Linked DNA regions of Xenopus tropicalis. The protein of the gene in region 1 purifies or fractionates together with the protein of each later gene. This does not show direct contact. Links are inferred from orthologs where the notes say so. Each region holds a gene or a part of one and is shown in the gene's direction. Other genes may lie near its edges.

What was found. Proteins that work in one complex are often made in the same cells at the same time.
Region 2: the proteins of ppm1g (region 1) and kpnb1 purify together in Homo sapiens (affinity purification with mass spectrometry; 3 studies listed by BioGRID and IntAct, with this or other methods). This does not show direct contact. The link is inferred for Xenopus tropicalis from reciprocal best matches to the Homo sapiens genes PPM1G and KPNB1.

What each region holds. Positions count from the first base shown.
Region 1 is NC_030681.2:162,046,792-162,050,519, reverse strand, and holds part of ppm1g (protein phosphatase 1G), read left to right. Parts: intron 1-2,382; coding exon 2,383-2,511; intron 2,512-3,070; coding exon 3,071-3,305; intron 3,306-3,728.
Region 2 is NC_030686.2:10,834,318-10,839,389, reverse strand, and holds the start of kpnb1 (importin subunit beta-1), read left to right. Parts: upstream 1-1,839; 5' UTR 1,840-2,029; coding exon 2,030-2,069; intron 2,070-2,203; coding exon 2,204-2,262; intron 2,263-5,072.

The sequences.
Region 1 (3,728 bases):
GGTGGGTGCCATCTGAGTCTATTATCAAAGCGATTGCGGTTGAGGGAGCTTGTAATTTGGCTAGATAGGCTAGTGTCCTGCCACTCCTGTCCCCAGTTTCGAATATGTGTTGGTGTGTATATAGTTGAGCTTTACGTATGAGGAGAGTTTGTTCCCTAGCTAGGGTATGGTGGGAGTTTACCAATTTGCTGTAATTGGTTGGATTTGGATTGGCCGCGTATGCCGACTCTGCCTCTTCCTGGTCTTTTTCAGCTTCTACCACTTGAGCTTTGGATTCTGTTCTGGCTTTCTTAATGGCACAAATGAGTTGCCCTCTAATATATGCCTTTGATGCTTCCCATACAATCTGTGGAGAGGCTGATCCTTCATTTGTCTCCCAGTATTCAGTTACCGCTGCGGTTGCACTTTCTAGCACAGTGTTGTTCTTGAGCCAAATTGGACTGAGTCTCCAGAGATTAGTTTGAGGGGTACCTATTATGTTTAGGGAGAGGGGAGAGTGATCGGACAGGGCTCGAGGGAGGTATTGTATCTTTGTTATCCTAGGTAGGAGTTCAGATGTTACTAGAGCTAGATCGATTCTTGTGAGAGAGTGATGGGTAGTGGAGTGGCAGGAGTAAACTTTCTGGTCAGGATTTTTCCATCTCCACGCATCTGAGTCCTAGTGCTTTTGTCCACAACATTAGTTTGTTCCCAGTGGGAAAGGGAGGATTTAATTTATCTATTTGCGGGTTCATTAAGGCATTAAAGTCACCCATATAGCAGGTGGGAGCTGTAGGGAGGTCAGCTAATTTTTTACTGATAGTATCTAGTGTGGTTATGGTAAATGGAGGTGGCATATATAGGTTAACTATAATTAGAGGAAAATTAGCTATAGTGCAATGTTCAATGATGAACCTTCCATAATAGTCCGTTTTGAGTGTTATCAGGTTAAACGGGATTGACCTCTTCACTAGGATTGAGACCCCTCTGGAATATTTAGGAGAAGTGGTCTTGGGGGGCCCCCTGGGGGATGTGGTTTGGTGGGGACCCTATGGGCTCTCTCAACCACAAATGCGCTAGAAAAGGTTTCGTTACCAAGAGTTTGTTTAAGCCAGCTTTCTATGAAGGTCTCGGGGTGCTGTCCTTTCTGGTAGGCCCACAATTCGGACATTATTTCGGCGGAGTCTATTTTCCAGGTCGTCTGTTTTATCTAGCGCCTGCTGGAGCAGTTGTTTGATAAATGTAATATCATTTGGGAGCGGTGTCACCATGTCCTCTAGTGTGGAAATTCTAGCCTCAGCTTCAGTAGTGCGCTCTCTAATGTTTTGGAGGTCGTGGCGCAGGAGAGAAATATCTATCTTTATTTTCCTCCAGTTGTGTTGTAGCGGCTGTTCGGCTTTCTAGTATAGCCGTCAGGAGTTCGCTTGACGAGGGTTGTGGAGTCTCCGCTGCTATTTCTGGCAAAGGGGGTGATGATGGGGTTGAGTCGCCAGTTGTGGTGGGCTGGGAGTCCTGCGGTTCTGTGTGTGCAAATCGCTCCAGCCTCGCCGCTGCATCTGGTTTTTGTTTCCCCATTTTCCGCCTTAATGATTCAGATGCTGGTTTCCCACAAGGTGTGTTGCTGTTGGTTGTGGGTTGGATATTAGGATATACAGTTGGAGAGCGCTCTTTGGATGGTAGTATTACATATTATCCCTCAATTCTCCATTCTGAGGGGTAGGTCTAGATTCTGGTCAATTACAAAATGCCAAGTAGTTGTATAGGTTGCATGTAGCTGCCCATGTGATTGCTTAAGATCTCCAGCACTCAGTATTGGTTCTGCTAATATAAGCAGTGTGCAGTGGTTGATGGCAGGGTGCAGCAGTCTGCAGCTGTGTGTGGAGCTGTATATGGGCTTGGAGCCGGTATGTGACGCCCCTGGGGTCTCAGGCACACTCACCCAGGCTTATATGGCAGTCTCACAGGTTGGGCGCCGATTCCGGATCGTTTGGCGCTGATCCGGCTCTCCCAGAAGTCGCGAGTGGGTGCGGCTAAAATTTAGCCTGCGGCTTCAGCTGGGCTACTAGGCCGCGGCCGGTTCTCCTCCGCGATCACACCCAGCGGGCGAGCCTCCCTGCACGGTGCTGCTCGTGTCTAGGGGCTGGTAAGGGGGGTTTTTTATTTTTGACCCCGGGAGCGCCAATTTCCGTGTCTGCTCCTGTGCGCAGCCCGATGTGTAACATATTTGATATATAAATAACTGATAATGCCAGCTTCTAACTGATCATGGCTTGTTAAGCATTGGTTTCTATTGGCTGAATAAATAAATAATGGGGTTTAACTCTTCCCTATGGAGAAACCCTATCAGCAGGCTGCTATTCAGTCATATAGATGGGTACGGCTTATTAACCTATGGTCCCGCAGGAGTGCAGCGAGGAAGACTACAGTAGCGAGGAAGCTGAGAATGAGGAAGAGGATGAAGAGGACAGTGAGGATGCAGAGGAGGAGGAGGATGAAGAAATGATGCTTCCTGGCATGGCAGGCAAAGAGGAGGTAAGTGAAGCTAAGTCCCTATTCTCTGCCTGTACCTTGTGTTCTCCTGCAGCCAACACCATAAGGCATAGGCCCTCGACCTGTTCTACCCCTGTAATTCCTTGTGCACTCGGAGAGCCTCCTCAGCTGCCCCCCTCTGGGGTTTTTCAGTTCAGTTTGCTTGCTGATAGGAACAGCCCCTACTGCTGTTTCATCATACTTATCCTAAAGCGAGCAATTGGTGGCCAGCTCCCCCGGCACCTCCTTAATGGCGGCCAGCTCCCCCGGCACCTCCTTAATGGCGGCCAGCTCCCCCGGCACCTCCTTAATGGCGGCCAGCTCCCCCGGCACCTCCTTAATGGCGGCCAGCTCCCCCGGCACCTCCTTAATGGCGGCCAGCTCCCCCGGCATCTAAATGAGTGCTGGGAGTTATTGGTTATTAGACCTGTCTGAAGGCGAGTAGGGCTGGATGATTCTTGCATGGATGAGCATTAGAAGTCTTTGGAGCATTTGGTTCTGTTTGAGGTGGCAGAATGGATGGGCCAAAAATAACCTTCCTGTGGCTTCCTCCTCCTCTCAGCCGGGCTCTGACAGCGGCACCACTGCGGTGGTGGCACTAATCCGAGGGAAGCAGCTGATTGTCGCCAATGCTGGGGACTCGCGATGTGTGGTCTCTGAGGGAGGGAAAGCGCTGGACATGTCCTATGACCACAAACCTGAGGATGAGCTGGAACTGGCGCGGATCAAGAACGCGGGGGGAAAGGTCACAATGGACGGCAGGGTGAACGGCGGCCTGAACCTTTCCCGTGCAATTGGTGAGTAGGGTGACTGGCCATACATGTATGGATATAGTGGCCAGGTTATCATATATTTGTCCGGTGGGCTGATCCAAGGGCCAAACAATTGGGTCACGGTGAAGCTATGCAGCCTGTCCGGACCAGGACCACCGCATCGATGTGCTGCAGACACAGTCCTTGAGCCAACAGAAAAATCAAACCCACCGATTTTTGGACAGATATTGGTCGGGCAGGCCCCATGGCACCATACATGAGCCAATAAGACGCCGGCTCCATTAGCTGCTTTTATCGGCCCATGTAGAGCCACCTTTAGTGCACTTAGCATTCAAGCTCTGTAACACTAATGGCCGGTGGGCACGTGGTTCCTTTGCTTGTAACCCATACTGACCCTGGTCTTTGAGACATACGTGTTGCCTTTGATAATATCACTATTCCTACTTC
Region 2 (5,072 bases), on another chromosome or scaffold:
GGACCGCATCAACGAGCCGATGCGGTCCCCAATCCGACCGGATTTTCTAACCTGGCCGATCAAAATCTGGCCAATTTCAGGCCAGATATCGGTTGGCCAGGCCACTCTGTTCTGCCCATACACGGGCCGATTAGCTGCCGAATCGGTCCAAGGGACCAATATCGGCAGCTATAGTCAGCCCGTGTATGGGCACCATAAGGGTGTAGTATATTAACATGCTCTTGTGGTTCTCAGTATGTGGGGAAGACCATATGGAATGTATCTAAATGCATTCTGGACTCTTTAGAGACAGGAGACTTAGGGCAGGGGTACACGGGAAGATTAGTCGCCCCGCGACAAATCTCCATTCTCACGGGCAACTAATCTCCCCATAATGCCATCCCACCGGTTAGAATGTAAATTGCTGGTGGGATGGCATACGTGGCGCCGCAATGTCGCCCGAAGTTTCCTCTCAAGGCGCGTCTAATCTACCTGTGTGTTACTGCCCTTAAGATCAGCAATGTCCAAACGTATTTTGAAGAAACATGACGGTAACGCACATTTTACTTTTCAGATTATTGACAGGCCATCTTTTCAGATAAGGATCTAGAGAGGAGACTGTTAAGGCAAGAGGCTTTTTGGATCTATAACTTGAATTCCCTGGAGTTCCAGGGTGGGATGAATAGGGAATGGGAGTTATCCTGTTTCTATTGAGAATTGTATAAATGGGGTTAACTTTTTGATTCTCCCTCCATTATATTTGGGTCCTCCTAACTATAAGTATTTCTATTTTGCTATCCTTATTTGTACTTCTTTTATGTATATTGTGTGGTGTGTAAGGGTTCATGTAGTCTATATCAGGGGGCTCAAACTCAATTTACCTGGGGGCCGCAGGAGGCAAAGTCAGGATGAGGCTGGGCCGCATAAGGGATTTCACAAAAAATTGGCTTTCAAGGGATAATGCAAGGCACGGCGGGAGCTGCTGATTGCGGAAATGACGTTATGCCATAACAGTTATTATGGGAAGATGTTCTGTGTGCACAATTAGCTCCTTAGCAGCTGTGCACACAGAATGTCTTCCCATAATAACTGTTATGATGGCATAATGTCATTTCCGCAATCAGCAGCTCCCGCCCGCCGTGCCTTGCATTATCCCTTGAATCGCAATAAAAATCGCGATCCATTCGTTGCTTTTGAGAAGGCGTTGGTGCGGGCCACAAAATACTGTACTGAGGGCCGCGAGTTTGAGACCCCTGGTCTATATAGTCCAACTAGTCTTTTGACTAGTTGGATTATATAAGCCCCTCCCACTTACGGGCTGATAATGCTTCTGAGGCCATGAAACGCGTTAAGCGTAGCTCCATGGCTGTACATATAGGTTTTTACATATAGGATTGAATAAAAATGACTGTTTTTTAATCCAGCTCTTTTTTTTGGTGCATTTTTTCTATTTCCTGCCACTAAACATCTGTCGTGGTTTGTACAAAGCCATCCAATGACTTGGGCTCAGTAAAGCTGCGCTGCTAGCACTACAGCCTGCCGAGCGGCGGCCACATGACTAAGCAGATTGGAAGCGCTAAACTTCTCTTTCAGCTGTTGAAAGACTACAACACCCAGAATGCCTTTGGGGAGCTCTAACCACAGCAGCAGTCGCCTTTTCCATTTCTACAATAAAATAAAAAGTATCGTACTTTTCAACTACCCTTCAGCTCGCCATAGTGTAATAATGACTCAGTACGGAAAGGGAACACTCTCACCCCACAGTGTGAGGACTTGGCTAATGGGCCCGCCCTTTCATTGGCTCTACCTAATAGGACGCACCCCCTCTCCCCCACAACCCTTAGCGGCACTCCTTAGGCGCAGCAAGTCCCCTCACAACAACCAATAGGTTTCCGGGACGTACAACTAGATCCGGCAGATATCCGTGCGCAGCAGAGCCACACCTCCTCAGCCCCATTCTTCCCTCTGACACAAGCGCGCTCGAATCCCTCCGCGCCACGCTTGCTCACTCCGGCAGCCCGCCTGAGCTCTGTGACCCGGCACCGCCCGCATGGAGCTCGTCACCATCCTCGAAAAGACCGTGTCTCCGGGTACGGGCGGCTGGTTATTGGGGGTATTATTGTGTGGGATAACAGTGAGGGGAGGGGGGCAGCAGGGAAATGCATGGGGATCCCCAATAGAGCGGCAGGGCCCTGAACCCATGTCTACCCTTCTTTTCCCTCAGACCGCAATGAGTTGGAGGCGGCGCAGAAGTTCCTGGAGCAAGCTGCAGTCGAGAATCTGGTGAGAAATGATAGAAGTTGGGCTTGAGAAGGAAGCCGGGTAGGGAGGCACCATGACAGCCACACGGAGCCTTAGGTTGGCCGTGCCGGCTCTCCCACTACATTAAACGCATGCAGGAAACAGCGACACTTATAAAAAGAGTCCCACTATCAAAGTAGCCACCAAGCTGGCAGGGGGCATGCTGGGAGTTTATTTGGACTTATTAGGCCTGGGGGGTAATCGTTCTCTGATAACCCCCGCAGCACATAGGAAGCCGGGAATTGCTGGGACTGCCACTGCCAGTAGGTCGCCAGCTGTTCTGAAATGGCTAGCGCTGTGGTGCCCGGCCAGGCCTCAGTGAAAAGCGCCAAGACTGGCGCAGCCTAACTTGCCCGCCACCCTGCGCTAGCCAATGGGGAGGCGCGGAGCCATTTAGCCGGGTCTAATTCGGCCAATGAGAAAGCGAGAAGAGGGAGCGGCGAGGGGGGCGGTGGTAAAGCACGTTGCGTTGCACAGCTATGTGGGGCTAATGGGGCTCCTTGTGGCATCGCATGATGTCGCATTTGGGCTGCTCTGTGCGTGTTGTGTGATTTTCCTGTGCTGACAAATTGCATTTTTTTGCAGTCCTTGGAGAATGTACAGAACTCAGTGTAGGTGCAGTGTGACATGCCACATTCCTGTCATTGTGAGCTTCCTTGTATTGCAATAAATGTCGTTAAACCCTGCAAACTAAATGCTTGCTTCCTGTTTCAAGGTATTCTCTAAGTACCAAATGTTTTGTATTGCTTTGCCATGAAGCTGACATGTTACTGTTTTCTTCAAAACTGACCTGCGCTTAAAGGAACAGTAACACCAAAAAAATGTATATATTTTCAAGAAATTAAACTATACTGTATTGCTGCCCTGGTAAAAATTGTATGTTTGCTTCAGAAACATTACTAGAGTTTATATAAACCCTGGTGTGTAGCCATGGGGGCAGCCATTCAAAAGAAGAAAAGGCACAGGTTATATAGCAGCTAACAGATAAACTCTGTAGAATACAATGGTGTCTTATCTGTTATTTGCTATGTAACCTGTGACTTTTTTCCAGCTTGAATGGCTGCCCCCAGGGCTACTCAGCAGTGTATTTATATAAAATATAGTAGTGTTCCTGAAGCAAACACCCGAGTTTTACTAGTGCAGGGCAACAGTACGTTATATTTCAATTACTTTAAAACACTTTCATTTTTTGGTGTTACTGTTCCTTTAAGTTTTTGAAATGTTAGGAAAGGATCTCGGGAAACAAGTGGTGCCAATGGCTGCCATCTTTACTTGGCAAAGACCAGGCTGGGGGTGGGGGGCAGGGTTTAATACAGGGGTGCACAAAAGGTAGATCACGGTCTACCGGTAGACCTCAAGGTGGAATGCAGTGGGATGACATCCCGCCACTTCCCCCCCCCCCCCCCCCAGCATACTGAAGCTTTCAAGTGCGACTGCTCAAGCCGTCTTTGTAGTTTCATCCCAGTATAGAAGATTGTCCCCACTGGGCCACTGTATATATTTGTTCCCACTTCATATATGTTTCTGTGTGCAGACTACAAAGTGGGCCATAAGGAAGGGAAGTAAAAACTACTACAATCCTTTCACATTAAACTTGAAGTTGGCACGTGAATAATGTTATGTGGGCATTAAATGTGAATTTGGCACTGCATTTATATATTGCTATGTGTATTTGTTAAACATCCATTGATATTTCTGTTGCTTATTGTGCCAAATGATAGACGTTGCACTATTTTAACTGTGGTAGAGCTCATGACTGAGGCCAGGTGGGAAGAGTAGATCACAGAGTGACAAAATCTGGGCACCACTGGTTTAATAGAACCATCATGTACCTTTCCTCATGCCAGAATTCATCTCTTACCTCCATGTCACTTTGTTTTTATAATAACAATCACTTAAAGTGGCCTTGCATAGGCTAAAAAAAAAAGCTACTGACTTTTAGATCAGTTTATCCACTTAGGGCAGTGGCACACGTGGAGATTAATTGGCCAGTGTCAAATCTCCCGGCAATGCCATCCCACTGGCTAGAATGTAAATCGCCGGTGGGATGGCATATGCGTCGCTGCAGTGTCCCAAAGTTTCCTTTCAAGACAATTTCGGCCGATTTCGGGACATTGCAGAAATGCGTATTCCATCCTGCCGGCGATTTACATTCTAGCTGGTGGGATGGCATTGCGGGGGATTAGTCGCCCATAACAATGAAGATTTGTCGCGGGGCGACTAATCTCACTGTGTCCCGCTGCCCTTCTTGGTCTGTATATGGTGTCCTCAAGAGACCTACCCAAATAAAGTTTTCCCTGAAAATTGTCCAGCATGTTGATGTCTCCTTAGGTCACACAGAATGATCCAATTTCTGGTCCCTTGTTGGATCAGCCAGTTAAATGTCTGACCTGCCCAATTGGCTACGAAAAATTAGAAGTGTTGTGTATGTTAAGTGAAAAGGTAGAGATTGGACAAAAGGTAGCGCTTATATAAGTCAGTCAGATAACTGCAAAACAAGTCTGTGCTGTATGGGCAGGATTCTATTTGAATAGCAAGATACTTTGCCTCATTTGACTGATTGTGCTAATGAGTGAATCTGCAGCGGTGTCCGCTCTATTCCAACAATCATCAGATTTTCTTCTGACAGAACAACTGGCCAGTACTTTAGGGGCTGCAAATAGGATGTTATTGGTCCTGTTTGAGTCTGTGTAGCTTAACTGACAGGGCATTATTTTTGATCTTAGTCTAGTCCTGCTGGCAAGGCTCCCTAAACACTGTTTGGGCAGTAATGTTGAAATTTTGATAAACCA